4 linked regions of the Lonchura striata genome follow. The protein of the gene in region 4 purifies or fractionates together with the protein of the main gene of each other region. This does not show direct contact. Links are inferred from orthologs where the notes say so. Each region holds a gene or a part of one and is shown on either strand. Other genes may lie near its edges.

What was found.
Region 1: the proteins of EXOC1 (region 4) and EXOC8 purify together in Homo sapiens (affinity purification with mass spectrometry; 3 studies listed by BioGRID and IntAct, counting the BioPlex papers as one, with this or other methods). This does not show direct contact. The link is inferred for Lonchura striata from reciprocal best matches to the Homo sapiens genes EXOC1 and EXOC8.
Region 2: the proteins of EXOC1 (region 4) and EXOC6 purify together in Homo sapiens (affinity purification with mass spectrometry; 4 studies listed by BioGRID and IntAct, counting the BioPlex papers as one, with this or other methods). This does not show direct contact. The link is inferred for Lonchura striata from reciprocal best matches to the Homo sapiens genes EXOC1 and EXOC6.
Region 3: the proteins of EXOC1 (region 4) and EXOC3 purify together in Homo sapiens (affinity purification with mass spectrometry; 5 studies listed by BioGRID and IntAct, counting the BioPlex papers as one, with this or other methods). This does not show direct contact. The link is inferred for Lonchura striata from reciprocal best matches to the Homo sapiens genes EXOC1 and EXOC3.

The regions. Positions count from the first base shown.
Region 1 is NC_134605.1:43,611,002-43,618,655, reverse strand, and holds the start of EXOC8 (exocyst complex component 8), read left to right. Parts: upstream 1-4,010; 5' UTR 4,011-4,035; coding exon 4,036-5,553; intron 5,554-6,214; coding exon 6,215-6,823; 3' UTR 6,824-7,654. Other genes in the region: DNA-dependent metalloprotease SPRTN, read right to left, coding at 1-57, 351-618, 1,363-1,491, 2,285-2,384, 3,504-3,763. UniProt on the Homo sapiens protein: Component of the exocyst complex involved in the docking of exocytic vesicles with fusion sites on the plasma membrane.
Region 2 is NC_134609.1:17,132,436-17,140,146, reverse strand, and holds the start of EXOC6 (exocyst complex component 6), read left to right. Parts: upstream 1-4,310; 5' UTR 4,311-4,374; coding exon 4,375-4,496; intron 4,497-6,525; exon of another isoform or gene 6,526-6,581; coding exon of another isoform or gene 6,582-6,664; intron 6,665-7,711. UniProt on the Homo sapiens protein: Component of the exocyst complex involved in the docking of exocytic vesicles with fusion sites on the plasma membrane.
Region 3 is NC_134603.1:61,285,369-61,293,379, forward strand, and holds the start of EXOC3 (exocyst complex component 3), read right to left. Parts: upstream 3,565-8,011; 5' UTR 3,493-3,564; exon of another isoform or gene 3,446-3,492; intron 1,501-3,445; exon of another isoform or gene 1,498-1,500; 5' UTR 1,396-1,497; intron 728-1,395; 5' UTR 687-727; coding exon 543-686; intron 1-542. Other genes in the region: dynein axonemal heavy chain 5, read left to right, coding at 4,786-4,915, 7,630-7,730. UniProt on the Homo sapiens protein: Component of the exocyst complex involved in the docking of exocytic vesicles with fusion sites on the plasma membrane.
Region 4 is NC_134606.1:27,480,073-27,488,296, reverse strand, and holds the start of EXOC1 (exocyst complex component 1), read right to left. Parts: upstream 3,276-8,224; 5' UTR 3,163-3,275; intron 3,130-3,162; exon of another isoform or gene 2,971-3,129; intron 1,342-2,970; 5' UTR 1,332-1,341; coding exon 1,208-1,331; intron 373-1,207; coding exon 242-372; intron 1-241.

The sequences.
Region 1 (7,654 bases), on a different chromosome or scaffold from region 4:
GTCCCGTTCCACTAAAAGGAGTCAAGTCTTTGCAATTACCATGCATTTGTGTCTTGCCTGCAAAATCAGATTAAAAAATAAATTAATATTTTCATTAAAAAGTCATGGGCTTATTATTTGAAGTGCTTCACACAAAAAAATCTGCTGCTTGAAAATAATGCGTCAAACTAAACATTTTGTAGACAATACAGTTGAGGAGCAGCCTAGAAGTGCAAAAACAAAAGGCCCTGTTCTTTGGCTACATAACAGTAACATCAAAACCAAGCTTATGTAGTGTTTGGTCCATATTTGTTCAAGAAAACTTCTGGACAAAAATCAGTTCAGAAAAGAAAAAAAAAATCATAAAATACCTTCATTAGTTGACTTGAAATGTGGAGGTTTTGCTGCCTGAGTTTTCTGCTTGGACTTCTCCGAGAATTTCTCTGGCTCTTTCACTTTTGTGAACGTGCCCCCACACGTCCTTTGATGTTCATCCCACCAGAAGTCATGTGCAGAGGGTGCTCTGTTCATTGAGCGCTTCACATATCCAAAGTAAGGCGCTCTGTTTTGGCAGGGGCCATTGCACCGCCACCAGTGCTGGCGGTACACATTAATCTCATCATAAAAATCGTGATAGATCTACATTTAGAAAAACAAACAAACAAACAAAATCCACAAAAGAACAGTCACTCAGGAAGTTACAAATTTTATATCACTAGCTCTAAAATGTTTTTTAAAAAAATCTGTTTCCATTCAATTCCTTCCACTACTGCTGTGATTTTTATATTAGCAGTTAAGAGCTAGATCTGAGTAAAAATTTATCAACAATGCTTTAAAAAAAAGATAGGAAGCGTAGGAATATGTCCTGGTTATCTTGTTGGAACTGCAAAAAGATAATTTTGGAAATCTATCTACAATTTCACATAGAAGATGTACTGTTTAGAAAGCATTTCAAACAATACCAGTATTGTATTCTCCTTTCAGTTATTACCTTAATTGATCTTATTAGATGCATTATTTTTAAATATTGACAGAAATATTGACCCTCTATTGACATAAATCTTGACTGCTCTTCACATGGAGCACTTCTGTCCCTGCTACCATTTAAGCTCTTTCTAATTTACCACAAAAGCTTAAAGAAAAATTCTTACAGAGAACATACCTGAAAATTACATGACTAACAGCTCACCACATCTTCCTCAACCTCTTTCCACCACCATCCCCAACAAATAACTATGGAACTAGCATACACTTGGATGCAAATTTGTATTGGTACCAACTGTGGAGTGTCTAATAAGAACATTACTTAATATGCACCAGTCAACCAAAACAGCAAATCAGGAAGAAAGCTCTATTAAAGAAGGTGAAGAGGATTATTCTTACTGTGACATTGGCTCCAGTCAGGAGATTAATACGACGCATGTGCTTGCAGAACTCAGGTCCATGGGACTCACGATCTTTGTAGTTATGAGTAACAAAGAGCAGGGCGTGGATCATTTCGTGCAACAGCGTCTGAAATGATGCAACCATTAGATATTCAATGAAAAGCATTGCATTTTCAGTTTCATTATTAAGCTGCAAGTATTGTACTCTTCTACATTGATTGTGGTTACTGATCTTATCTTTGATTATTCACATACTCAGTCTGGGTCATAAAAACATAATACTTTGATCTATCAAACCAAATTACCCCTATTCCCACATCACTAAAACACACTGCATAATATCACTTCCATAAGCAGCATTCCAAAAAGGAGATATAATCCTCAAATTTAAATTGGATCTTTAAAGACATCATCCCCTACACAGCCCCCAAAAAGAGCCATTTTGAGCAAGCTGAAATTCTACAGCATTTCTGTTGTTAGGCAAATCTGAATGTTCAGCCAGCTCCAAGCAGCAACTCTGGCAGAGGCCCAAAAGCAATAAAATGTCATGTTAAGTCATAACCTATATCCTTATTTTCTGCTGTTGGCCCTTTCAAAACTATAGTCCATGTTTGGTTTGAATATTAAAGGATAATTTTGGAGTTAAAAGCCTGGGGTGTTATTTTCTCTATATAAAGTCAATAAAATAAACAAGTGACTTAAGACTTCTACTGGGAGTTGCCCACTTAGAAACATAAAACTAAAGATTACCATGGTACTGCAACACAAGCCACATGAATGTAACAGTAAAGCCAGTGCTATTTTATGACCTATAAGTTACTGCATAACAGAATCCCACTATGAAATCTAAAATGTTTGTATGAAGTGGCGGGTGTGCACAAAACACTTCACGTGCAGATTCATAAGCCATGTTCGAATACCTCCACAAGATCCTTCCTCGGCCGTAACTTTAGAAGCGGCTCACTGAGACGAATGGAACACAACCCACTACTTTTGTGATATGAACAGATACCAGCAGAGCTGAAAGGAAAGAAGAAAGAAAATACAAAAATGTATTTGTTTCTTTCTTCATTGTAGCACATGAAGAAAACAGAGAATTTAAGTCAGAATGCCATCCCCTGTAAACACATGCTAGGTCACTCAGAACATGGAATAAAATCACTTTGAGTAGTTACCTGAAAAATTCAGCATCATTAAGCAAAGAAAGAAAATATCCACAAGTTCCTTATAGTAGAAAAACCTGGTTTTTAAGGTAGAAGAATGTTTCCTTTAGAACTTGTGATGAACTAAAATACACTGCACAGAGGCTGGAGATTCACGGCAGCAAATGCAGACTTAATTGGCAGTTGTTTCAATTTTACTCCCCACCCTTCATCAACTTTTGGCTCATACTGAACCTACATATACCTCCACTTCTGTGCACTAATCCAGCAAACACGACTTTTTTTTGTTTGTGTTAGTCCTACTGAGTTAGCCCTCAATCGGTGCAACATCCAACTGTTTCCAAATGTCTAAAGAATACCGCAGCCAGCAGAGGATACGAGGTGGTGGGACTTCCAGCTGCTAGCAACTGCATCTGCTGCAGAACTGCAGCCTGCACTTTAAAGATTTCTAGGTTTGTTTAACCTCAGATTTCTTCTATGTTCCCCTTCCTAGCCCATTCTAAATTTTTCTAATATACTATTATTGGTTCATATTTGTCCTTCTGCTGTGCAGTAAAACTATCATAAAAACTGAGAACCAGAGCAGCAACACGAGCATGTGAGGCTTCCATACACATCATCTAAGACCAAGTAATTTCTTCCATTTAACATCCCTCCAGCTTGCCTGCATCCCGTGGAAAGCCATTGGTGGCTGCCACGGACGACAGATGCAAGGCAAGGGAGACAATGACGGCGACCAACTCACGTCCCGCCGTCCGGGCTCTGCCGGCGCTGCGGAACATCCGAGTGCCCGGGAAGAGAAGCCACGGCACCAGCAGGGCGCTAGCGGGGCACGGCGAGGAGCAGCACAGACAAGCGACAGCTCCTGCCGACACCGCGCACGCCGGCGGCGGCGGCACGGCGGCAGCTCCCGGACACACGGACCGGCCCGGGACAGCCCAGCCCCGGCAGCTCGGCCCACATCCCCCTGCCGCACCTGGTCATGCGGGGGCTCCAGGACACCGTGACAGCCTCCAGCTTGCCCCAGAAGAGCGTCTGGTTGAAGTGCACGAACAGGCCGTGCACGTCCGGGCTGGGGTCCAGCAGCTCCCACGCCTCGTCCACCACCGACAGCGGGCGGAGGGATGAGCCGTACGGAGAGACATCAGGGCGCTTTGCTGCCGCCGCCGCTGCCTCGTCCTGCTCTTCCCAGTCCCTCTGCAGCCTGAGGGCCAACAGGAAATCCTCGTCCTCCATCCCGAGCGCGGCTCCGTCGGCCGGCACAGAGCGCAACCGGAACGCGCAGCGGCCGCGACGCACGCGCAGCACCGCCCCGCGGGCGCCGCCGCCGCGTCCTTCCGAGTGCGCGGGCCGGCACATCCCTGCGCCGCTTCCCTTCCCTTCCTTCCCTTCTCCTCGCTTGCTCCGCTCCGCCTCCGCCGGCGCGGCCCCATCCCGTCACCGCAGGCAGTCGCTCCGGCCGCGGGGCGCAGGCGCGGCGGGTGTCGCCGGGCGGGTACCGGGCGGACATGGCGCTGTCGCTGGGCGAGGGCGGCGGCGGGAGCCGGCTGCGGCGGCAGCTGGAGTCGGGCGGCTTCGCGGCGGGGGAGTACGTGAAGCAGCTGTCGCAGCAGTCGGACGGGGACCGGGACCTGCAGGAGCACCGGCAGCGCATCCAGGCGCTGAGCGAGGAGACGGCGCAGAGCCTGAAGCGCAATGTCTACCAAAACTACCGGCAGTTCATCGAGACGGCGCGGGAGATCAGCTACCTGGAGAGCGAGATGTACCAGCTCAGCCACATCCTCACCGAGCAGAAGGGCATCATGGAGGCCGTCACCCAGGCCCTGCTCCTCCAAGCCGACCGCGACGACCCCGCGCTGGGCGCCCGCCGCGCCGCCGCCGCCGACCCCTTCCTGCCGCTGTCGGCCAAGGAGGCGGCGGCCAGCGAGGAGGGGCGGCAGCGCACTCTCACCACCCTCCTGGAGAAGGTGGAGGGCTGCCGCGACCTCCTGCCCGAGAGCCCTGGCAAGTACCTGGTGTACAACGGCGACCTGGTGGAGTACGACGCGGACCACATGGCGCAGATCCAGCGGGTGCACGCCTTCCTGATGAACGACTGCCTGCTCGTGGCCACCGCCCTGCCCAGCCGCCGCGGCGCCTACCGCTACGACGCCCTGTACCCCCTCGACGGGCTGGCCGTGGTCAACGTCAAGGACAACCCGCCTATGAAGGACATGTTCAAACTGCTCATGTTCCCCGAGAGCCGCATCTTCCAGGCTGAGAACGCCAAGATCAAGAAGGAGTGGCTGGAGGTGCTGGAGGAGACCAAGCGCAGCCGCGCCCTCAGCGAGAAGCGGCGCCTGGAGCAGGAGGCTCTGCCCCGGCCCGCGCCCGCGCCCCCCGAGTCCACCAACCCCTTCGACGAGGACGAGGAGGAGGAGGATGAGCCCTCCGCCGAGGAGGAGGTTGTTGACCTCTCACTTGAGTGGATCCAAGAGCTGCCCGAGGACCTGGACGTCTGCATTGCCCAGCGGGACTTCGAGGGGGCGGTTGACCTGTTGGATAAGCTGAACGAGTACCTGGCGGACAAGCCTGCGAGCCAGCCCGTGAAGGAGCTGCGGGCCAAGGTGGATGAGCGCGTCCGGCAGCTGACGGACGTGCTGGTGTTCGAGCTGTCCCCGGACCGCTCGCTGCGCGGAGGGCCGCGGGCCACCCGCCGGGCCGTGTCCCAGCTCATTCGCCTGGGCCAGTCCACCAAGGCGTGCGAGCTGTTCCTGAAGAACCGGGCGGCCGCGGTGCAGACCGCCATCCGGCAGCTGCGCATCGAGGGCGCCACGCTGCTCTACATCCACAAGCTCTGCCACGTCTTCTTCACCAGCCTGCTGGAGACGGCCAGGGAGTTTGAGACGGACTTCGCCGGCAACAACGGCTGCTACTCGGCGTTTGTTGTCTGGGCCCGCTCGTCCATGAGGATGTTTGTAGACGCCTTCAGTAAGCAAGTGTTTGATAGCAAGGAGAGTTTGTCAACTGCGGCAGAGTGTGTCAAGGTAAGAGAGTCCAAAGAGTTGGGTGGTGGGGCACAGCAGCTGAAACAAAGGCTTCAAAGCTTTAAAGTCTCGTCTCTAACTCTGGTTTGGTTGTTGACTCTTGTGTGGGTCTCCAGAAAGATTTCCTGAGTTGAAAGATTAATATTCATTCGAGGTTTGTTTGGTTTTTTTTCAGTTTAACAGAGGAAATCCTTAAGGTTATAATACAGGCCAAGGAAAACCCTGCCTTTATCAGGAATGCAAAATGTGTTAATTCTTAATTTACCTGTAACTAGTAGGAGGTCCTAAAATTTACATGAACTACACCTGAATTATAAGTACTTCAAAACTTTCTCTTTGTTCTCCAAGGCTGTCTTTAGGTACATTTTCATACTTTTTTTGCAAGACTAACTTTCTCAGGTTATGCTTTCTTTTGGCTGCTGATTGGGAGGGGGGGAAAAAAAGTTTGTGCATGTGGGTTACATAGTGTAATTGTCCAGAGTTTTTTTGACAGCCAGGGTGTATCTTTCAGTTATTAATTTCTCATTAATGAGATTCTTAAAGCACGATAAACAAGTATGAGTAACCCATCTCAGTTTTCTGAGATGAATTTGATAAATGTGTAAGGTGAAAAGGGAGCCTGCACACTAATAACATCCTTTGCTTTTCTTTGTTATCCCAGGTGGCTAAAGAGCACTGCAAGCAGCTGAGCGAGATTGGACTGGATCTCACCTTCATTATTCACGCCCTTCTGGTAAAGGATATCAAAGGTGCTTTGCAGAGCTACAAGGATATCATCATCGAGGCCACCAAGCACCGCAACTCTGAGGAGATGTGGAGAAGGATGAACCTGATGACTCCAGAGGCACTGGGGAAGCTCAGGGAGGAGATGAGGAGCTGTGGGGTGGGCAATTTTGACCAATACACGGGGGATGACTGCTGGGTCAACCTCAGTTACACTGTAGTAGCTTTCACTAAGCAGACTATGGCCTTCTTGGAGGAAGCGTTAAAGCTTTACTTCCCAGAGCTGCATATGGTTCTCCTGGAGAGTCTGGTGGAAATCATCCTGGTGGCTGTCCAGCATGTCGATTACAGTTTACGGTGTGAACAGGACCCGGAGAAAAAAGCATTCATTAGGCAGAATGCCTCTTTCCTGTATGAAACTGTCCTTCCTGTTGTGGAAAAAAGGTTTGAGGAAGGAGTTGGAAAGCCAGCCAAGCAGCTACAGGATCTGAGAAATGCCTCAAGATTGATGCGTGTAAATCCGGAAAGTACCACCTCTGTGGTGTGAAGTGAACCTAACTGTTCCTCAGAACAAGGTGGCAGCACTTACTGAAGATTGTTGTACATTGAACAGATGAACTAAACAGGGGTTTTTTGAGTCCCTGAAAGATGCAGAACTCTTATCTGCTGCATTCCAGAAGCTGAAGACTTTGAATCAATGCCTGCAAGCATGCAATGCTTTACTTGTTGGATGGGGTGTAGGGAAGTGAGAAGGTGGAGGTCACATGTCCTTGACAGCATATCCTCTATGAAGGGCTTGTGTAGTATTTGTGACGTGGGAAATAACTGTAATACACAAATTTTGGCCAATTGTTTGTGAAAGTCTTACATACATATACAGCAGATGGCAGGAAAAGATCAATTCTCATCATGTCACTGTAGCAGTTCTTTTTTAAGGCAGTGTTCTGGTAGGAGGGTAAGTGCTGAAGCATTCCCAGGGTGTGGTATTCAGTAAGGCACGTCCACCATCCACATGTGACTCTGCAGATAAATGACATGGATTTGCACAATGTGATTTTTGTGGTAGCAATGCAGGCTTTTCTTTAACATTGAGATTATCTTAATTCATTTCAGAGGCAGAATGAAATAAAAATGCTTTTAATATAGGTTCTGGTGTTTGTGTGAAGGGGCTTCTTCTGTTAAGTAAGCTGGCCTGTCAGCTTGAATTATAGTTGTCTGAAAACAAACCTGCTGTCTGAACAATTTGTTTGCTTCAAGAGAAGTGAGAATAAATTTCTTCCTTTCCTCTTTATGTTCCTCTTCCATGTTTTCTCACGGATCTAATTGGGGTCATGTCCATTTAGTGAAGTGTGCACTGTTGCTTGAGGGGCTGTCACAA
Region 2 (7,711 bases), on a different chromosome or scaffold from region 4:
GTGAAAAAAAAAAGCCCTCCTGTTCAAGGAAAGTAATGTCCTCCAGGGCAATATCTGTAATAGAGCTCTTCACTGCCTATAAAGAAGCAAAGCCCTCAGGCTCCCAGGGCATGTCCTTGACTCAGGGTTTTAGTCAATGCCTGTTCCTTAAAAGTACTGGTAAGCAGAGAGAAAAAGATGCATCAGTGTTTTGTAGAATGCATTTATGCATTTCTAGAATGATAAAGATGCTACTTTGTAGCATCATTCAAACGGTATGCTAAAAAAATATGGTTTGTATGTTGCAATGAAAATGAAATAGTACTTGTTCTTCAATGGCATCTCTAGCATTATATAAACACATGCAATGACAGTGACTCTCCTTTCCACTGCAGTCAGACAGAAGTGCTTCTGTTCAACCAGTAGGTTTGATGCCTTTATTGACTCTTAAAAAGATAACATCAGCACCAGCTGTGGATCTCTCCAAGTATTTTTAGGCACTTGTAAGATGTCAGTGAAATGTCAAAAGCAGTTAGTGATGCACTGCACACCTAACAGGAGAGATATGTGCTGTTCTTACAATTTACCATAAAAAGCCCCTATGTGAAATAGAACATTGTTTATTTGGTATTTTAGTGAAGATTGTTACGTACACTGTCCAATTCATAAATCTAGTATAATTAAAACGAAAAAGTCAATGTATTTATGATTTTGACTACAATTCAGAAAACATAATTCACTTAAATGCTCTGGAAAGAAAAAAGGTAACCTCCCTGCTAATACCTAATGTACTCACTATATATTAGGCAAAAAGTTAAAAGGTAAAAAATGGCAGCGGTAATTCCATCATCTCCTCATCTGCCTGTTTTCCCCAAGAATCATTTGATAAGGTTGTTGCTACCATGCTTCATCTGAGAGGCAGAAATGGGTCTGGCCACCAGAAAACCAGGCACAACGGGAATGGGAGCAGTTCAGTTTCTAGGGAGAAAGAGCTGGTTTGCAAGGATCCAGTCTGGGGATGAGCCCAGGAAAGAAAGCAGTAGCAGAGCAGGAGATGCCAGAGAAATGACTAATGGCATTGTTGTCCTTGTGGAGGGATGTAAAGAGGAGATATCTGGGCAATGACCAATGAAGTAATTTGTTATGGATGGCATTGCATGTGAAAATTATCTATAGTAATTCCATTTGAGGGTGGACATTTTCCCTCTTCTCTCTTTTCCATGATTCATTCAAAATGGATTCCAATCCAACTGGGAAAGCAAATGAAACAGACTCAAAGCTGCTAATTGTGTACTGGCAATTGTAAAAAAAGGAAGTAATCTACACTGGAATTGCATACACAGTAAGGACCCTACTCTACAGCACTTTATACTTTTTGTAAGGTCATGTGGGTAAAATGTATTTTTAAAGTATCAACATAGGCAGGCAAGATTTAAACCAGCAGTTCTTGGCCCTCTGGTATCTCATTAGGGTTGGGGAAGAGTAGGAATTAGGGGAGGAAGGGGAGAAAGGACGTGGTGAAAGTGGTTTTGCTTTAGACAAGCCTTTGCATCCTGTTTCACAATATTGTTGATAATTTGCCTCAATTTCCCCTCTTGCTCTCTTCTGAGCTGCAAACTGTTTTTACACCTTCAGCATGAAATAGGTGCTTTGGATCATTTTTTCAAAGGAAAACCTCAGGATGATTGGAAAGATGGCAACAGCTCTACATCTTACAGGGCCTGAGATTTCTGCCTATCCAGATAATGAAATACTTCCTTCACAGAAATAGTGTGAATTTAACCAGCACAGAAGATACCTTCTTATTTTTCTGCCAGGAACTTCTAGAAGATTAATACCTTCTCAGGCTTCTTAACTTGGTTAAATCTGAACAAGTACAAGTATGATACCTCAGAAATGATAATGTCTACTGTCCTTTTCTGCATGGAGAAAAAAATTACTTAGCATTGTCTTTGGTGACAAACTATTTAGTTGTAGCCTCCAAGTATGTTGTGTATAGTTGTGAAGCAAAGATACACTGTTCTGCCAGAAGCGGATGTCAAGTGCCTATACTGAATTTGTCCCTTTGTATTTTTACAAAAAATACTTTATTTCCTTGAACAAGGCAGTTCCCTAAACCTTTTGAGAGTGGCCCTGAGCTCAGCTGGAAACAGGAAAAGCTCCTGTGTGACTGAAAGATGTAGATGCTGGGCACATCTAATCAGCACTGGAATTATGGTGGGGAGGAGCAGATGACAGAAGTGGGGAAGGGGAGCAGAGGCTGGACAGACAGCACAGGGTAGAAGCAGGGTCATTGCAGCAGAAAGGGCTTTTGGCAGGTGTTAATGTACTGCTGCCCATGATCTCAGGTCAGATACAGATCCACCACTGCACCTTGGATCATCCTCTGGGTGTCATGGTCTTAGGTTCAGTGGGGGTGAAAAACACCCTGGAGAGCTGAGCAGCCAGGCCTGGTGCAATTTGGTCTGATCCTGTCCAAAGAACCAAGGTACTTCAACACCCTCTGCCACAACTGAAGAGACTCTAACATCTGCCTATTTCTTGGTCATTCACCTTTGTATTTGTTTGCTTCTTCTTACATTGTTTTGCTTTGTTATTAAACATATTTATTTCCAGGCAGCTGCGATACCAACAAGAACATTTGCACAACAGATTCAGAGTCCTGTTTATTTTGGTTAGCTGATTTCCTAAAGCAAGCTACTGTTTAAATTTTTGGAAGAGGAGGAAAAAGAAATTTCACCCAAAGCCTCTGTAAGAATTGAACTAATTTAAAATCACGTATTCATAAAAGCATTTTGTATAAATCGTCATGCTTCCATCACTGAGTTCTATTTTGATTGCCAGCCACAGTGTGTGCTGGCTGGGTGTAGATGTCTGAGGCACCTCTGATTTACCTGCCCTGCCTCTGCTCTTCCACAGTGGCAGTAGATGTACTTTCTTCCATCACACGAATAAGCTTAAGCTTGTTATAGTATTTACAGTTTACTTGCACAGTGTCACCTCATAATTGTTAAATTAATTCTGAATCTGGTGACTGTTAAGATTAGAATGAGTAGTTTCAACATCATTCCCTTCATCTGCGTTTGTGTGACATCCAGTGGCTGAATGGGTCAATCGCAGGCTCTCATTTCTGGTGAAAAGTGTAAAAATTACTCACAATTCCACGTAGAACATGAAAGCAGGAAATGTATTGCATAATAATGCTAACAGAGCAATTGCTTAATTTTGGTTCAAAAATAAACCGGTGGTTAAAGCAGCTTGTTCAAGGAAAAACATTGCAAATCTGTATGTAGCCCTAACTCACTGCAACCTTTAGTGCTCCTTCCCACTGCTACTGATGTGAACCCATCTCCTCATTGTTCCCACTGGGCACAGAGAAGTGAATAAACTGTTTATCACTCTGCTCAAAAGTGAGTAAGCTCTGTTTCCTTGCACTTAACTGCTGACTGCACCACGAGTGTCTGGATTAATCAATTCTGTCAGGACAGCACTGAGATCAGGAGCCAAATTCTGATTAAAACCTTTGAAATATTTATAAAAAACAAAATATATTGATTATCCAAATGATATTGAATTAGGCTTCTAAACAGTTGTTTAAACTTAAAGATCTAGAACTCCAGTCTCATGTTTGAAATTAAAGTAATCCATGGCAGTTGTGCAAAGTGTTTTCTTTGCCATCATCATGAAAATGATGTGACAGCAGCACTACTCTCAACATTTGTTATCCATTTTTTTCCATGCAGGTAATAAATTAGTAACAGCTTTTTTTTTTGCTCACACATATAAACCCAACAGTTATCACAAAGCTTTTTCTGCAATTTATTATTATAAATAGCAACTACTAATGCTGAAAAGGAAAATTATGAGAACATAAATGTTTCTGTTTTTCTAATCTGCTTTAGGAGATCCATAAATCTTTTTCATAAATCCAGCTAAGTCCTTGTGTGCAAGCTTTTTATATAGCAAAAGGAAAACCTAATTAAAAAAAAAATAATCTCATAAAACTTATCAGAGTAATTAAGCATTGATGTCTAGTGTCTAAAATTCCTTTAAAGTTGTGTTTTCAAAACGCCTAAATTTCAGGTTTAATATTTATTTCAAGAATGCAAAAATATTATTTTGGCAGGAATTTTGTTGTTAAGACTAATATGTATTAGGCACACACACACAAAAGAGACTGTGCAGCCCTGGGTAGTGCATAAGAGGCAAATGATACCAGCAGACAGGAAAAGAGCAGCTGTGCACCATTCTTGGACACAAAGTCCTCAAGAGTCACGAGGTTAGCACAGGATCTTTTTTTTTTATGCTTGGTTTTGCTGACTACGGTCACTTAGTCAACTATAATAATCAGAATAAAAGTCCTCTCCTAAAGTTAGATTAGTTTTATCCTACTCTATGGCAAGGAAAAGTAAGTCAAATCTCTCAGAATTTTATCTAGAAGAAAATAAAGATCAGATATATGAAAATGCCCTTGCTGAGATCCAGTCCTTTGAGCTGCCTCTTGGAACCACCTTAAGGTATGCTTCTTTTTTTAGTATTATACTCTTTATGATGGATGTGTTCCATTCTATAGTTGTTCTTTCAGTCAGCACAATATATTAGAAACTTTGTTTTCCTGACCCTGAAGCCTACCAGAAAGTTGAGCTTAATTTCAATGTGATTGGCCCTAAGTGAAAAACTACAAACCAAGGTCACCTACTCTGCTCTTTCTTTTCACCTGGACAAATTGATCTGTTTCTGATGGCTGGCTGCAGATTTGTGAAAAAAGAAAGTGTTCTCAAAAATGAAAACAAGGTGAAATTTTCTTTTTTGCGTAACAGTGTTTTAAGTTTAAAGTTAACAGCTACATTTTTAAAGAATTAAGTGCTTCTTAAATTTTTAATAAATGAAACTTCTGTTTAATCACCAAAGACAGAACTACTTAAGGTTTTACTGCTGATATTTCTAAATAGCTGAAGATTTTTTTTTTTTTTTATTTGTAGCTTACGGAAACTGTTTAATGGTAAAAGTGCAACTGAAGAAATTCCTCTGCATATTTCTCCTTTAAAAAGTAATATATATAAGATTGCAATGTAATTTGTCTCAGTATATTGTCAGTATTTGTAGAAGAGTTTTAAAAATAGCCTGCCTAGCACTGTAGGCGTCAGGTTGCATTAACGATCAGGCTAAAAAAAGAAAATTAAATATACCCTGAAAAATGTGTCAATCTATAACTTCAGTATTTTGGTGATGGGAAAAAAAAAAAGAAGAAACGTGGGAAAACTGTTACAGCATTTGAGTAATTTCTTGAAGGAAATACAAGTGGTAGGATTTTTCCCTTTTTTTAATTATGCACTTTGTAAGCACTTGTCTACATTCAGAATAGTCCTTGTTGATTTAGTAGGTGAATCAACAACCTGAATCAACACTGAATATGATATAGGCACAAGCATAGACAAGATGTGCACTGTCTTCGGTGCCATTTATTAACTCGTGTACAGGTGTAGTTGCACCAGGGCAGGAGAGATGATGGGCTTGATAACAATAACTGGAAGGATGCCAAATGCAATTGTAGACTTTGATGCATTCACATTTGTCAAATGTTGTCAGTTCCTTACTGGAAAATGTAGCTACACATCACCCTGAAGTTTTACATATCTGGCCTATTTCTTCACAAGAACTTCCCACTTGTGTGCAGATCATTTTGCCCAGAAAGCAGGTGCATCCTGTCTCCTGAACATGCAAAACCCAAGAATTAATTAATCCCTGGCCACAGGCCACGAAGTGTAAAATTTAAATAGAAAATAGGTTATTCCTCCTTCGTTGACACAAGACGCTTTGCTGTACAAGGCATTAGGAAACACTATGTCAGTTTCTAGTCAAACAGCAAGCCACTGCATATAAAGGTGCAAAACTTTTTTTTGTCTTGGTTTTGTTCTATTTTTACCCCGACCCCCAAGTTTCTATCACGTAAAGAATGGAAGGAATGAAGACTGACATAACGTGAATGCAGAAACCCCCGCAGAGCTCAGGGCTCGGTGCCTTCCTCCCTGCCGGGACGGGCACAGCCCGCACGTGCGGGAGCGGTCGAATCAAAACAAACCAAATAATAATAAAAAAACAAGACCACACCATGAACTAGCCACAAGACCAAACCAGAACTAGCTCAGTGGAAAAGGTCGTGTTGAACCCTACAAGCCTTCAAGGCGTCTCTGCAGCGCGGTGCGGTGGGCGGGCAGCCGGCCCGTGCGGGACAGGGGCCGCACTTTGCGCGTCCCTCGTTTGCCACAGAGCCCTGAGCGGGCCGCAGGGGCTGAGGCCCGGCGGGCGCAGCCGCCCGCGGTCTCTGCCGGACACCAGCGCTCAGAGATGCCGCGGGGACGGAGCGGCTTTGCCGGACTCCCCCGGCCTAGCCCTGCCGTGACAAGGGCAGCGGAGCACCGCCGAGCCGGTGCAAACCCGAAGGGCGCGGCCCGGCTCGACCTGCGCCTCGCCACCTGCCCCTGCCCCCCGCACCGGCAAACCCTCCCCGGCCGCTGCCGCCGGCCCCCGCCGGGCTCCGCCGCCGCTCCTCCCTCGGCGTCTCCCGCAGCGGCGCGGCCGGCGGGTCCCTCCCATCCAAGATGGCGGACAGTCTCCCCGAGCATGATCGGATCCTGCAGGAGATCGAGAGCACCGACACGGCCTGCGTGGGACCCACCCTGAGGTGCGGGGCGCGGCGGCCGCGGCGCCGCCGGCGGGTGAGGCTCCCCCGCCCTGCCCGCTCGCCGGCCCGGGGAGCCGCGGCGCGGCCCGGCCGCGCGTTCTGACAGGCGCTCCCCGGGGACGGCGCGGGGCCGCCGCAGCGCCGCCGGCGGGAGCGGCCGCGCCGGGTGCGGAGGGGACGCGCAGCCCCGCTGCCGCTCCGTGGGGGCCCGACCGCCGGCCCCCGTCCCGGGCGCTGCGGCGGGCAGGGAGCGGGGCTGTCAAGCCGTGCCGCCGCTCTGACAGGGAAGGGGGGCCGAGCTCCGGCTGGCCGCTCCCTGGCATTGTCAGCCGGGGCAGTAGCTGGGCACGGCCCGGCTCCGGCGGGGCTGGCGTGCGGCCTCGGGACGGCGCGGCCCTGGTTCGGCGCGGATGGCCGGGCTCGGGGCGCCCGCCGTGCCCAGTGCCGGGCTTTGCTGCCCGCCCTTGGGCACGGCTCAGCTTCGGGGTGTGCCGGTACCCCCGGCTCTGTGCTGAGAACGGGGCCGAAACCGAATCATGGGTGGGTGTTGTATTGCTCCACTGTGCAACCTCTAATGATGCGGTCTGATACCTACTAGTCCCTGGTCAGTTTGCTTGGAAATGTGACGGTGTTTAGAAGATTTCTGGTATGCCATGACTGCAGTGGTTTGGTTTTCTGTATTTTTCCTCCAATTCCACATACTGCCAAATGGCTTAGCCTGCATTTTGAAAAAAAGGTTTTGCATAACCTTTCCTGTTAGAGGCGAATGTGGAAGTACGTTTCACTTAGAGCTTGGGAGATAAGGGCAGGGCCTGTGGAAAGTGAATTGGGTTATTGAGGAAACACAGGGGAAAGGGGATCTTCATCATGGAGCTTTGCTGGTGCTTCCCCGATTAAAGATGTCTGAAAGAAGTGAAAAAAACATAGGCACTAGCCAGACGGGGAAGAGAACTGTGAATTTGAATGTTATCTCTTTGAAAAGATACAGTGAGCCTGTGTGCAGAAAACTGGAAAAGGCAGTTTGTGTGGCAGCGTGCTGCAGAGCAA
Region 3 (8,011 bases), on a different chromosome or scaffold from region 4:
ATAACTATTGGCAAATACCTGTGAAGGAAGAAAACAAGAAAGTCAGTCAGTGTGTGTGAATGTGCAGCCACTCACGTGTACACATGCGAAGGAGGAGCAAAATCATGGGGTCACTTCCACAAGAGACAAAAATGTGATATATTTTAGCTATCTTCCCTAAACCCATGTAAAAGTCAGAAGGGTAACTGACTGATCCTTTTTCAGATGCAATCATCAATTTTTTGTTACAAGTTCAGTATTCAGTCACTAAGAGAAGGCTTTGTTGGCTGACAGGCTACACAGCAGGGTAGCTGTGCATGAATAAACTGCAGACCTAAGAATACTTGAAATGCTTGAATGAAACATTAGTAAGATGTACAATGTCAGTTTGCATTACTTTCAGGACACAGATTTTCTGGTTTGGACACAAAGTAAAAACTGAAGTCCCTGGTTTAATACTATCCATCTGGCTGAAATGCAGATTCAAAAAAAAAAAAAAAACAGAAAAAAAAAAAGTACACTCATGATACAGCACAGACACTCAGGTTTATCCAACTTTGTACCTTGAGTCGAGCTTCTACTGAAGCCTTCTTACGAGCTTCCCTTCTGCGATACTGTTCCACTTTATCCAGCTGATCAGGACGCTGAAGCATTCCTGCTACTCTCTGAACAGCTGTTGCAACTGCTTCCCTATCCGTTTCCTCCATGGCTGGTTAGGACCTCAGAATGCCTTCATTACTTAACAGGACTGAAAAGAAATAAAACATTTTTTAAAAACCCACCTTTTTTCATTTGATGGCTATGTGAAATTTCAAAGTTAACAACTGGAGAATTAACTTTGGTAATAAAAGCAGTGCAACTTGTCAGAAGCATCATTAAACTACATTCTAAAGAGAAGCAATTGGAATTCTACAAGAACTGCATTTAAAAATACTTAACTCAGTCTCATTAGTTCCCCTGCAGTGTTTTTGGTTGCTGTTTTTACATTTACTTTGATCTAGATTTGAATTAAAAATAAAAAAATACCACCAAAAAAACCCACCACCCCAAGACCACCAAATCTTCATGAAAAGAAGAGATTCTATTTAATCCAAGGGTAGGTTGGCCTATTAAAAGGGTAATAAGACAAGCATAATGAGATCTTGTAGAAAGTTCAAGCCGAAGTCCTAACTCATCCTGAACTACAATTGGGTGGACTTAAGAGAACCACAGCCCTCCTGAGCAATAGGTCAATTCTCCTACCAAAACTGGAGAGAAACATAAGCAGTGGAAGCTCCAAGCACAGAGACTTAATGATAGAGCACTTTCATTTAGGCTTCTGATAGGTAATTTTTTATTTTCTACTCTTGTTTTCAGTTCTCACAGTATCAGTCTAGTCCATCAGGGGTATAGGGAAAAATTATTCAAGTATTTCACCTCAGTCTCCAGCAGAATTTCTAGTGAAGTCAAGACTTGCAGGCAAACCAGTACGGGGAAGAGGTAACATCAAGGCACATCTGTTCTCTCAGACTTCATTAGCTACTAACAGAAAATAGGGAGGATCCCATCACCAAAGATGCAATACCATGGTGTCCAGAGACCTCAGAGGAATGTATCTGGAGCTCCTCATTGTTTCCAAATGATTTCCAATATTTTATGTCTTTAGCCTTGCAACCAAACAGAACATTTTAGGTCCTGCTGCCACAGCTAGAGATTATATTCTCTCATACCCATATTATTCCCTGAAATTCAATATCTGTTTTCAGAGCAGTCTGCATTCATAAACCCAGCACATCACTTAGTCTCAGCAGAATAGTGATCTAAAGAACCATGCAGAGTACGCTACAAAAACAAAGTGCTCTTTCTTTTTGCTGAAAGAGCAAAAGCAAGAAAACTCATGGGACAAGCAAAATTGATAAATGAAGGAAACATTGTGTGGGGGCACCCAAAAAACCCTAAGAAACAATCGAAGCAAAGAAAACTGCTCACAACACCTCACAGGCAAACTAACACTCCAGCCAGTCTCTGAATAATCACTACCCTGGAAACAAAACCCCCATAATATTTTATTGCTAAGTATGATATACAGTAGGGAATTTCCCTTTGGCCAGTTTGGGTCAGATGTCCCCACTGTGCCCTCTCAATCTCTGCCCACCCCCAGCCTACTTGAGGGGAGTGGAGGGCAGATGAGGAAAGAGAAAGCCTTCACACTGGTACAAGCCCCCTGCAGCCATAGCCAAACACCGCAGTGTGAGCAGCATTCCTTCTGCCACAAACCCAAAACACAGACTGTACGCACTGTTATAAAGAAAGTTAACTACATCCCAGCCAGACTCTGTAGAGCATTAGCAAAATTCCTAATTTTTTAATTTATCATGGCTAAAGAACATTCCAGGCAAGGCTTGCCCGTGAGCTCTGGAAGAGCCCAAGTCTATGTCTCAAGTTCTGTATCTCAAGTACCTTCAAGAATTACATACAAAAGTATGAACTTATTTCAGAGTTACTTCAACAGTGTAAACTCCTGTACTTCTTTACTACTGGCCTGGTTAAGTCAAACCATGTTTCATTTCTTACTCTTCATCTAAACATGCAAGATCTATTTCCACCACTTGTGCTTTGGAATGGATACTCCAGTTTCATTTGGCTCAATCCATTTCCAAGCTATAAGAGCTCTACCTAAAATTTAAAAAAATGATACTTTAAAAGTATGCATTTATTACAAAAATGGTATTCTGCAGCAGAGAGCTTTATCCTGAATTACTGCCCTTATTAAAAACTCTGAATACATCCCACAGAGTTACAACATCTTGAGTTCATACAGCCACTACCTAGGCACATCAAGGAGACCTCGTCAGCAGAATCAGAAGCCAGCACACTGTAACTAACACGCCGAGGCAGACAGGCTCTTGTAGAACCACCCAAAAGGAACAGCAAACTTTAGGAAGCCACGTCAATCTCTTACAGAAGCTGTGAGTCAAAACTACATACATCTCCAGCGCAAAATAGAGGCAGAAGTGAACAAAACTACGTCCCAAGCCGACTCAGGAAGGCTCCAGCTGCAATGGCACCCTTATCCTGGGGACTGCCGCTCCAGAGGCGAGCCAGCGGGGCTGACAGGCTCCCGGGGGAGGCCCTGCTCCCGCAGAGGAGCGCAGCGAGCCCTCCGAACAGAGCTCGGGGGAGGCAGCGGCGGCGGCCCCAGACCCGCCCGGCTCCTCCCTGGCAGCAGCGGCTCAGCTCCAATCACTCGCACCGACGCAGGTGCCCGTCCGTGCCGGGCAAAGGCCGGAGACCTGTCCGCGGGCACGCCGAGCTCCTTCGCCCTCCGCCGCGGCCCCGGGACAGGACCAACCTTCAGCACCCGCTATGCCCCCAAAACCCCGGGGGGCTCCCCGGATCGCCCCGGCCCATCCCGCCCCCCACCCCCTCGGCTTCCCACTGCCACACCGCGGTCCCTACCACCCGCGACAGCCCGGCAGGGGCTCACCGGCCGACAGCGGCGGGGACAGGGCGGGACGCGCGGCCGCCACTTACCGGGGCCGCGGCCGCCCCTGCTCGGGAGGCGCTGACAGCCCCCGGTGCGCCGGCGCACGCCCGGCCGCGCACGCGCACCGCGCTGCCGGCGCCGCCGCCTCCTCCCCCTCCTCTTCCTTTTTTTTTTTTTTTTTTTAAATATAATTTTAGTGTCAAGGGGCGCAGTGTGTGCTACGGGGGCCTGGTTCAAAGTTTTTGAAAAAAACAAACAAACAAACAAAAAAAGCCAGTAAAAACTTCACGACTCCTGTGAGGTGTTAGAGCTTTGGGTTGGGGTGGTCGCCTGCTGCAGTGGGTGTCGTCTGGGGGAAAGAAAGGAAGCACACGGAGTGATTTCTTCACGGGATGAGTTGTTAAGGGTTGGAAAGGGCTGCCAGAGGGAGCTGGTGGAGTCACCGTCCCTGGAGGTGTTCAGGAAATGAGTGGATGTGGCTCCGTGCCATGGGCTGCCTGACACGGCGGTGTTGGGTCAGCCTGGGTGGACTCGGTGACCTCAGAGGTCTTTTCCATCCTGATTCTGTGATTCCGTAATGAAAATGGATAAGCCGGCCAAGCTGCACTTGACGCGGCGCCTTCAGATCCGTGCGGAAGCTGCTTTTCGCGGCAGAGGAGAAGGGGAGCCCCTCGCTCAGCCCGCGGTGCCCCCTCACGCCTCGCCCAGAGCCCAGGGCGCTGCCGAGCCAGCGAGGGCTGTGAGAGAAAACTACGGTGCTTTTCAAAAGACAGGTAGTTAAGAAATGGGCACCGGCTTGCTGAATCCAGTGGGAAATGGGGACAGGCGAGCTGCCTGGTGGGGGCTGGGTTGCTCGCTGGGTTTTGTGTAGGGGTTGCCATAGCAGCTGCCAGCAGCTCCAAGTGCCCAGGGGAGACCGCAGGCGTGAAAACCTGCTTGGGATTCAGCAGATGCCGCAGCCGGAGCTCGGTGCCCGGCGCTTCGCAGCGGGACCTGCAGGAGCTTCGGAAGGAGCTTAACCTGTCCCCCAGGTGTGAGTTCCCACCTGCGGCAGTCTGATTGGACAGAAAGTATAGTTGTGCAGTTAGAAATACAAGTTTTGGTAACCTGCATAAAGTTTTGGCACTCTTAAAGAAGATTTTATAATTTCGACAACTGCTTAGATCTTCTCTTTTTAAATCACCGACTGAAAGTAGAGGTTTTTTTCCCCCCTTCCTTGCTAGTCTATCCCTGACGGTGGAACAGGGATAAAAATACTGAAGGTGGCTTTATTACAATGTTACACTGTATAGTCATTTTCTGTATTGTTGATTTAGGTTGATTTTTCTGGAGTGCTGCAGATGGAGGAGACTGTAGGAGGTGAAACTGATGGTCACTCTGCACAGCAGGAGTCAGAGCAACTGAGAGCAACGAAACTTTCTTCGAAACCTCATATTGATCTCTGTCCACCTCTCATTGCCATAAAAAAAGGTAAGGGGAAAAAATAATAAGTACTTCATGTCAGCTTTTCATGGGAAAAAAAAATCAGGAAGAAAATGAGGAACCAATTATTAAGTAGTGTTTAGTTTTATATATACTTCGTGGGTATGTGCTATTCTGAATCTGCCACTGTAGGGACCATGTGTGCTGAATGTGCAGTTTTCAGCTTTATAAATAAATATGTACATATAAATAAATAAATAAATAAATGTATGCATGTATGAATCCACAGTGCAAGTCTGATACCATAGCAGATTTCATAGTGTTGAATGTAGTTGTAGTTGAATGTAGTGTTGAATGTTGAATGTAACACGATTCAAACAATTTTTTAAAATGAAAATGACCAGTACTCCATAAGATTTTGCAATATCACACATAATATGGTATCTCTTTTCTGGAATATTTTAACAGTGGTAATAGATTAAATTAGTTAGTTCAAAGGTTATTGGACATAACCATCTACCTCTGTGTCTAAGGGAGCATCTTTACCTATGTTCACTTTGCTTATGTATTCGCTGACCTTGTGGAAGGGGATCATGTTAGATAGTACTGAATAAATAAATATTCATGGCAACTGGGAGAGGGGTGTGAAGTCTGGAGGAAAGCTAGAAAGGCAAGAAGGAGAACAAAAGGCTAGTTGGCCTCACCTCAGTCCCTGGGAACGTGGTGGAGCGGCTAATCCTGGATACCATTTATAGGCACATGAAGAACAAGAAGGTGACTAGGAGTAATCAGCATGCATTTAGCAAGGGAATAAATGTGAACAACCTAATTTCCTTTTGAAATTAAATTATTGGTTTGATAGGTGAGGGGAGTGCAGTGTCTATGGTTTGCCTTTTCTTCAGTAAGGCTTTTGACATTCTTCTGTTGAGAATTTTTTATTGTTCCCCTTGAAGTGAGTTATACACACATTTGTCCTGAAATATATTTAAAAAATAGTAAACAATGCATTGGACAGTCTTAAAACCATGACTGATTCTACAGGAAATCTGCAAAGATGCTTCTTGAAGCAATTTCTTGTATACACTTGCACCAGCACCAGTCCTGTGAGCATCAGCATGGAGCACCTCAGCACAGCCTTGGATCCATCCCCCAGCACCAGCTCTGCTGCCCAAACATAGAATTCTGAGCTAGGCATTACAGGATAGCTACAAGAAAAAGCTGTGGCTGTTTCTTATCACCAAGGGAAACAATACTCCCTTACAAGGATTGTTCTGCCTCTGGTATTCCTTCCTGCTTCCAGCTAGCTTAACCCCTTCTGCAGTTGGACCTTCTTGCTCTCTATGCCAGATTGTTTCTGGGTTACAAAGTACCACTCATGAGCAGTTGCAATTTAAATTTCCCCTTTGCTTCTGAAATATCCTCATAGAGAAGCCATGGAAGTGTGGGCTGTCTGAGCAGAAAGTGAGATGGATTGAAAACATTGCACAGACAAGCTCAGAGGGTAGTGATCAGCAGCACAAAGTCTGGCTGGAGCCCAGAAGGTAGCAGTGTACTCCAGGGGACAGTATGGGGTCCAGTTCTGTTCAACATCTTCATTAATGATCTGGATGGTGGAGCAGAGGGTACCCACAGCAAGGTTGCTGACAGCACATAAAAGGGAGGATTGGCCAATAAATCAGAGGGTTGTGCTGCCATCCAGAGGAGCTTAGAGAGGCTGGAGAAAATTGCTGCACCTAGGGATAAACCAGTCCATGCAACAATACTAGTTGAGGGCTGAACAGCTGGAAAACAGATTGGCAGGAAAGAACCTGCAATTCCTGGTGGGCAGCAAGTTGAACATGAGCCAAGAATGGCTCTTGTGGCAAAGGAGGCTGATGATACTGTGGGGTGGATAAGGAGTATTAAGAGAGCAGATTAAGAGGGATGATCCATGATCTCCATTCAGCAGTGGTGAGGCCTCACCTGCAGTAAGCTTGCTTTAGGCTTCTGAGTACAAGAGAGACATGGTTTTACTAGAGAGTCCAGTGAAGGGCCATGAAAATTATGAAGGTAGCAGAGCACCTCTCCTGTGAGGAAAGGGTAACAGCTGGGTCTGAATGGGATCTTCTCTATGGATGTAAATGCCTGAAGGGACTGTGTAAAGAAGAGGTATAAAGAAGATGGAGTCAAACTCTTCTCCAAGGTGTCCAGTAATAGGACCAGGGGCAATAAATGGTGGAAACTGAAACACAGAAAGTTCTATCTGAACATCAGGAAACACTGTGAGGGTGACTGAGCACTGGTGCAGATTGCCCAGGGAGCTTATAGAGTCTCCATCCTTGGAGATACTCAAAAGCCATACAGAAACTGTCCTGGACAACTAGCTTCAGCAGTATCCCTTCCAATCTCAACCATTCTGTGATTCTGTATATTATACATATTAATCAGTAAAAAAGATATACAATTTGATGCAAAATTTATATGGAAATCAGTGCTATTAGAATTTGAGTTTTAGTCACAATCTTTTAAGTTATATAAAATAGATTAAACAGTAATTCATGGAAGTTTGGTGAGCCACTCATAAGCATTACTGCATGCTCCACTGGGGATCCTATTTGCTGCCAATGATGGGATGTAAATATCATATTTTGAGTAATAAATTGGTCTCATTTTCTCCAGTATGAGAAAAAGTTAGCTAGCAAATATGAAGATACAACACTGCAGGTCTTGTAAATGCATTTGTTGTACTTGAATAATTAGAACTTGTAATTTCTTTTAACTAGACACAGAAAGCAAAAATCATAGACATGGGGACAACCTGAGGACAAGAAGCACTGAGCTAGGATCTGCTGTCACAGGATCATCTCTGACTACTGTTCTTCCGGCAAGTGTTTTTTCTAAAACAGGTGGTGGGTTATTTAAGTACCTTTTGTCTGCTAAATGTTCTTGTATATAGATTTTTCTTTAGGTCTTCACTGACAAAAGCTTGTCTAATATTGAAGCATGCTGAGTTCCTTCAGTCTCTGTTAATTGCAAGGAAAAAGAAACAGTGAACCACTAAAAAGTTTCTACAGTGTTAGGGCACTGACTTTCTGTGCTCATAATATGTGTTGCTGGGATTTTGGGTTCTTTGATGTATTTTTTTTATCATCCACTGGTTAATAT
Region 4 (8,224 bases):
AGGGCAGATATTGAGACTACTGCTATTCAAGTGTATCTAGACTACTCTTACTCAATTTACCAGGGTTATAGTCTTGCAAAGGCTGAAAGAAAACACAGGCACAGGCAGCACAGGAATGTATCATCTTAATTAACCTGTTATCAATCTAATTTTTAAAGTAGCCAGTAACAAGGAAGTTAGGTCTAACTTGGAATGAAGAAGATCATGGGAGCAGAGGACTAAACAAAAAAGTGCCACATACTTTAACAGCATCTTTGGCATCAACAACAGCAAGGTCTCGAAGTGCCCATGCAGTCTGCCTTTTGTAAAAATCTCCCTTGTCAGATTTTTTCACTTTTACCACGTTCACTTGCACTGGTCGTTCTGTTGTCACTATTAAATGAAGTAAGAGAGTCATTTCAAAACACACATACTACTTTCACATCTGTGTCTGCTGTACTTCAACTTCCCAAACAAATTATCTGTGGGGGAGATTTGTTAGCATTTATCTGATGAAAAGAAACATTTTGAAACCTTTTCATCCACAATAACCGCAACTCAGTTTAAGTCTCAACCAAACAGGTATACTTCTCTATACAGCTTGTGAGGTAATGACCCCAATTTTCAGCTATTTCTTTGATGCAGCAGATCTTGGACCATGACCACATAACTGACATAGCACAGACATAACTGGAGAGTACAGTCAGAATGAAAACATTTTCAGACATTTTTCAGTCAAAAAATATTCTAGCAAGCTAATTTATTGACAGATCAACACAAAGCACCTAGTTTTTTAAAGAGATAAAATGTAATAAACATACACTTCAAGGAACATTAGAACTCAATGCAGTTGCTGTGCCTTTCCTTGGTCTCTAACCAGTATTCTTTAAAGCATTTTATTTAGGCTTATCAGCTTAGATTATTACTAAACCCTGTTTTAAGCACTACATAAAGCTTGTTTCAAAAGCCCACCAGTCCCTAGAGAATACTATTTCATTCTTTCCTTTCAAATTACAATGAGATCAGTGAATAAAAGTAGTGGGGTTTGCTTCTTTTTTTAGTAGAAGCAATAATGAAAGTACAAGTTATAAATAATTTTCTCCATTAGGAATGGAAAGCACCTGTTTTATACAAGTCAAGAATAAGAATTGTACATAAAGCTAAAACAAATGCAACCAAGAAAAAACAAAGGTGAAGATAAGAAATATAGTGTGGTATTCATATATACCTGTGGCACACAAAAAGCAGTTCCTCTTCTTTTTGCCTGCTTTGCACACATTCACAATGCTCAATAAACGTTCATCATTGGGAGTGAAAATATCCCTCTGCAAAGCATGCTTGATTGCAGTCATTTTCTCTCAGCTGAAAGATTTTAGGAGGTAAAAAATAAACTCAAGCATATTTACCAGACGCACGAGAAAAGAACCTGTCATGTACTTACAGTAACCACAGGATTTTAAAATCCAATTTTATAGATAACTTAATGACTTGTAATCTAGACAGGCATGACTTGGGTAGAAGACCAGACCACTTTAGGAAAAAAAAAAAAACAAAAACCTTACTTGTTTCAATTAGAAAACTGTAATTTATTAATACCTGGATAATTCTTGAGCTTAAATTAATGGAGTACAAAAAGCTTCTTTGTAGTAGAGGGAAATACTAGGCATTCAATAAAGTTGAAACTGGAACCAAGGAAAAAAAGACCATCCAATACTCAAGCTTGTAGAATTCAATCACATAAGCCCAAAAAACAACAAACAAAACAAAACCAAAAACCCCTCTCCAAGCTCCAGAAAATTAAGGAATTAGCAATATTTACTTGATTAAGAACAGTGCCTCACACTAGAGATTTTATCTAGACTGAACAGAGAAACACATTACACATCACATTCAAGCGTTTTTATTCAAATACAGAAGATTCAATATTATCTGTGCCTTAAAATTCTACAGTTCATTTTAAAAAAGCATGATTAGTACACACAACATACTACACTGCTGGATGCTGAGACAATATATAGAGTTGAATTTCAGGTTGGGTTGTTCTCTTGAAGATGCCCGAGTTGTTTCCTCTGATAAACCCATAGAAAAGACAAAATCTTGGGCACTACAGCAATTTTGAAGATTAGAAAGTTAAGAACTTTGTGAAAACAAGGCCACGATGCCAAAGTGAAAACAGTATTGTCAACAGCGCTCAGGGCATGCTGTTTAAATGACACCCTATGGCAATGTACCACTCCATAGCTGCTAATAATTTTCCTTCTCTTCATCAAATGCTGGGCCCACCTTTTGTTTCCCCAATTGTACCAGGTCACCATTCGTGTTACTCTTCAACAGATGCATAAGATGAACACACAAAATACCAATAATCTGCTATATTTCAAATTCAGATGCCTCTTTCCTTCCTTATTTAGGATTTTATTTTCTGCTCTAAGTCACAATCAAGCTACTACAAATTGCTAACTCTCCTATTTCAGTGCTATCACAAGTACTGCAGGTTAGGCAGAGTACACCTTTCCCACATCATGATAAATCCAAGATCCAAGACTGGCTCTCATAAACAGTTCAACTTCTGAATTAAAAACTCAGTTCTTTTAGTCACAGCCACCAAAACATTCACAGTGTGCCAGGACCAAGCACAAAATTAAGCTTTTCACACTTGAATCCTGCTGCCTCAAAGGAACACAGAATTCAGCCTAAGAAGCTGGAAATAAACATTTCCTGTAATGAGCCAAACAAAGGCTACATGAAATTTGTTCGAGACATGACATCCCAGCCGCGGCTTGTCCAGGAAATACACGCCAGACGGGGCATGGCAGCGTGGTAAAGCTGCTCAGCACTGCCTGGCCTCTCTGAGGGCGCAAACAGGAAAAGACGCTGCTCCCGCATCCCACCGGCTCAGAACACACCACAACAGAACGCAGCCCAACCACAGCATCGCCGGAACTCAATCACAAGATCAACAAATGGACAGAAAAACCTCAGAAGAGCTACCTAGAGCAGCGGCGGGCTCCCGAGGGCCCGTCTGACACCGCCTCACCGCCTCCCACCTGCGAGTCCCGCACAAGCGGCCCCGCCCCGAAGCCGGAGGCACGGCCACGGCCGAGCCGGCCCGCGGAGCACCGCGCCAGCCCCACGCCTGGACGGGGGAAGAGCCGGAGGGTGCCGGGGCCGCCTCGCTCTCACCGCGGCACCGGGAAGCGCCGGGAAGCGCCGTGCCAGGCCGGGAAGCGCCGGGCCAGGCCGGGAAGCGCCGGGCCAGGCCGGGAAGCGCCGGGCAGGACGCGGCGCTCCCGCCGCAGCTTCCGCCCTCGTGACGGCGGCGCGCGGCTCGGGGCGGGCTGCCCGCGCAGCGCCCCCTGGCGGGGAGGAGTGGGCGCGGCGGGCGCGGGGCAGAGCTGCCGCCCCCAAAGTGACGTCAGCATTCTCCAGTGACGTCACGGCAGAGGACTGAGGGGGTTTTGGTCCGTTAGGGGACAAATGGGTCCACAGAAGAAATGCAGATAAACTTGGTACTTAAAGAACATACAGTGCATTACAATTTTGAATTACAGTGTCCAGCTCAGACTGCATGCTGTAATTCCATTTGGCCACAGCATCAGGACTAAGGTCACTTCATAGAATCAGCAAGGTCGGAGAGACCCTTAAGATCATCAAGTCTAACCATCCACCCAGCACTATCACTGCAACCCCTGAGGCATTAAACCTTATCACCCAGTACTAGATCCAGACACTTTTAGACCACCTCCAGGGAGAGTGACTCCACCATCCAGGCAACTTATTCCAATGTCTGACAATACTAACAGTGAAAAAGAAATTCTAATATCTAATCTGAATCTCCTCTGTCTGAGCTTTAGGCCGTCTCCTGTTGTCCTCTCACTGCAGGCACAGCAGGAGAGCCCAAAGCCCTCCCCACTACAGCCTCCTTTCAGGGAGCTGTAGAGAGCAGGGAGGTCCCTCCTGAGCCTTCTCCAGGCTGAACAAACCCAGCTCCCTCAGCTGTTCCTCACAGGACATGTTTTCTGGACCACTCATTAGCCTTGCAGCCCTTCACTCCAGCACCTCAATTTCTGTTTGAAAGTGAGGGGCCCAAAACTGAACACAGTACTGGAGATGAGGCCTCACCAGTGCTGAGCACAGGGGGATAACCCCTGCCCTGGTCCTGCTGGCCACACTATTGCTGACACAGGCCAGGGTGCCATTGGCCTGGGCACTCACTGGCTCATGTTCAGTTCATATTCATAATCTGTGGACAGCAGTCAGATTTTTGCTTTGCTCCTAGGTAGAAGAATCTGGACTAATTGGCAGTCTTTGATGTCAGTGATAATCCAAATAGGAAAATTATGCTGAGACTAGATTTAGGATTTAGCATGAGAACTGATGTCCAAATTGGTTATAGCTACTTGTAGTCATTGATGAATTCTGTGGAAACTGGAACTACCTTCACTGTGACAGAGGTTCACCACATGATCAATACACTTACCTAATTTTTAGCATTGTTAATGTAATGGAGTGCAGAGTTAAGGATAGACTGAAATCATTCCAGATTACTTAAATTGTATATAATTTATTAATTTTAGTGTGTATCTGATAAAATGTATTTGCAAGGCCACCACCAATAAACAGAAAACATCCTTTCCAAGGAATTGTTTTAAATTTCCAGTATGTGGATTTCTAACATGTAGAACTGTGTTTCTGTAATTCCTGTATCATATTTCTACTTGATCAGGAGCATTAATTGAGATGAGCTCAGTTGATTACAGCATGGTGTTAACATCACCAACACCGTGGGTTTGAGCCCCATATGGGCAATTCACTTAAGAGCTGGATTTGATAATCCTTGCATGTCGCTTCCCAGAATATTCTGTGATTAAATATGACTGACCAATTAAGTCTTGCTGAATGTACTTTTGTTTTCTCACTTACAAAACAACATGCTGTATGATTCTATAATATATCATTCACGAGGGCCATGGTTAAAATAGAAGTTATAGTTTGATAATTTCTCAATTCAGCCACAAAATGTGTATGTCTGTCTAGATTTATAAAGACTGGACAAGGCAGCCATAAAATACTGGACAATGTTCCATAAAGCTGTTGTTATTAGGGAGAATGCTAGTTTCCTAACTTTTAGCTTTAATTATGCTAAAAGAAAAAGGAAACCACACTAAAATGCCCTTTTTACTGCTAAAATGGGTTTACACATAAAAACTGATATGAGATTATCTACCCTGTGCCATCCTCTCCCCTCCTACTTTAGATGCTCTTCCACAAATGCTCTTTAGAAAGGGTGTTTGATCTTTCAATACTGACTTTAAGTCATGAAAATATATTCTTAAATTACATATTAAAAATTATGGAATACAATCACTCACTTTACTAGAAAAAAGATTTCTATGCTGAAAGTGACTGAAAGCATTGGGAAATAGGTAGCTGGCAGGGAAAGCAATATAGGCTTGTGTTGGAAAGAAGTATGTTATTATAGGTATGACTCCAAAACACAAAGGAGAAGAAGTATGAGAAGTAACCTAGAAGGCACAGTCTAGAACATGCTCCCTGTTCTCTTTCACTGCCATTTTTTTTTTTTAAATTCCACACTGATCTGCATTTCCTTAATTGAGGATGCAAGAAAATATTAGCTAACCATGAAAAATAAATTCAAAGGAGAGGAGTATTTCTGCTCTCAATAAATAAAATTTAAATAAAATCTATTGTCATAGGTTTCCCCGTAGTCTTAATTCCGATGTTTTTAAGATAAATACCTTTAAAAAATCACCTGTCTTCTATGACAGCCTCTGTTCCCTTTCTGCCTGTTATGTGAGCATGAATTTCTGTCTGCTTATGATCACTCATCTTCATTTTCAGGCTGCCATGTATTTTCTTCTGTCTGGAACAGAGTTGGCTAATTGCTTCTGAAGAATGTCTTCTGAAGAAAATCTGCATTATATCCTCAACCTCACATATTCATTCTAATCATGTAGTTGAAACCGTTTATAGGAATGCTACAGATTCATTCCTATAATCCTTTACTCCCCTCAGTTTGTTCCTTGTCAGTTTTGGAGAATTCTTCCAGGAGAACTAGATTAATCCCCAGATACTTTTTTCCAACTACATTCCATTTACCTAAGGTCAGGAAATGTGATGTAGGAAATAATTTTGCATTAACTGAAAGATGGGCTGTTTAGCCTGTTAGATCTTTTCCATTCATTATTTAGCATATTCTCTGTGTCCTGTGGTGCAGCCACGCTATGCTCACCACAAAGTGATAGTGTCCCTCAGACTTCCCATAGCACATCAGGCAATTACAGAGTCTTGGTAACTGGCATCTTAGAGAGAACTGTGTGAAAGTAAGGAGCCCCTAGATTCAGTCCACAAAGATCTTTTAAACTCTTCCGTTTTATAGTAACTGAAATAATTTACATGGACAATGTCCCTGGTTTTCCCATTTTTTTTTGTTCAGTCTGACTACTCAATTAAGAATGTCTGAAATACTACATTATCAGAAAGAAGAGATGCCAGATATTTTAATTCCATATTCTTCCACAGAAAATGCAGGTTTGTGTCTTTCAATATAGTTCATGACATGTTTATATCACACAAGAATAAAAATGTATAAACTACCAATGGGAGTCCATTGAATATGGTTGAACATTATATTAGCTTTTTAGCTATCATTATTTTCTAAAATGATACACACAATTACTGGGCAAGAATTCAGTATACATGTACTTTATTTCAAAGGAATGCTCTGAAGTGCGCATTTTTAGAGTTCTAACAATTACAAGTTGAATGATGAAAGCTTTTCCAGCCAGAAAACATTTCCTTGTGCCTATTAAGGAAAGAATTTGTAAATATTGTGGAAAACATTGTGACCTCAACAATCAACACACAATTCAAACAAGACAATGTATCATAGATAGCAGTAGCATGAATTCTACTTCCTATATAAGATGGTTTTGTGGAACCTGGATGTTGGGCAAATACTTCTTGTAGCTAATAATCAAATGTCACAGCATGCCCACTTACACTGGATTATCCCAAAGACATTCTCCAAAGAACAACTGTATTATGCAAACAAACACTAAAATTACATTTCTTCTTTCTAACAGTATTTCGGTGGCAAATTTAAGACCTTACAAATGCCAGAGGATTTCTGTTACCCATAAACTGCCCTCACAGCTGTCTTACTGTACAGTAATAATTACTAAGACCTGTGTTAGAACCAACGTAATTTGCAATATATGCCTAGAATAAATATCTAACTTCTGAATATTAACTAATAAAAGGTATGGGCTTTTCTATATAAACACAATAGGATAACATTTAAAAAGTAGAAAGCTGTAATTTTTACAGGTTTTCAAATATATTCTCACTTATTTGATATTATTTCAATTTTGAATTCAAAGTACATTTACACAAATGTTTTCAAAGGTGGGAGTTCACATGAAAGACAAAGTCCAAGCCACAAGTACAGCAGAGTACCCTTGCACAGATATCCCATGTTAGAGATGAGCAAGGATATGAACCAGCCTGTGATCTACTGGCAGCTGATATCTCAGCTCCAGGTCCATACCTGCTTTAGCCCACAGCCTGCCTTCCTGGTCTCTCTTGGCTACCAAAGGAAAAAGAATTTTCTCCTGCAGGACATTCTGACCAGAAGCTTCTCTGAATGGAGCTTACTTTGGGTCGGCATTTTTTTATTCACTATGGGATGAACAGCCAGCTAACTTAGCTGACTGACACTGGGTGTCAGCGATGGTGACACCATGCTTCTTATCATTAACATTGTTCTCTTCAGCTTCTGTTCAACACAGCTGCCACTTATCCTCTGTTTCTACCATAGTATACTGCTAACACAAGTCCAGCTGTTACATTTTGTGAGCTGTTCCAAGCAATCAAGACTCCACCCCATAGTAAATGTAGCTCTAAGTACTAATGTGTCTTTCGGTAGTGCACTGAACATGCTTATACTTAGCTAGAAATTGGCGAAAATAATTCTCATTATTCTAACTTTGAAAACTCTATCATTTGCCTAAAAAGTAACTGTAGTAGCCAACAACTGCTGTTTTCTTATCCTTTGGTTTAGAGATAGAGACACTTTCTGTTCCCTAACCACAGCTGTTCATAAGTGATGAAGGGCAAGAAAGGACATATTAATGTTATGGAAGTTCTGAAAGGTCAGACAAAGCAATGCTGCTTAAGAACATTGTTTTTTTAAGGCAGTATTACAAATAATGTGATGGCCATA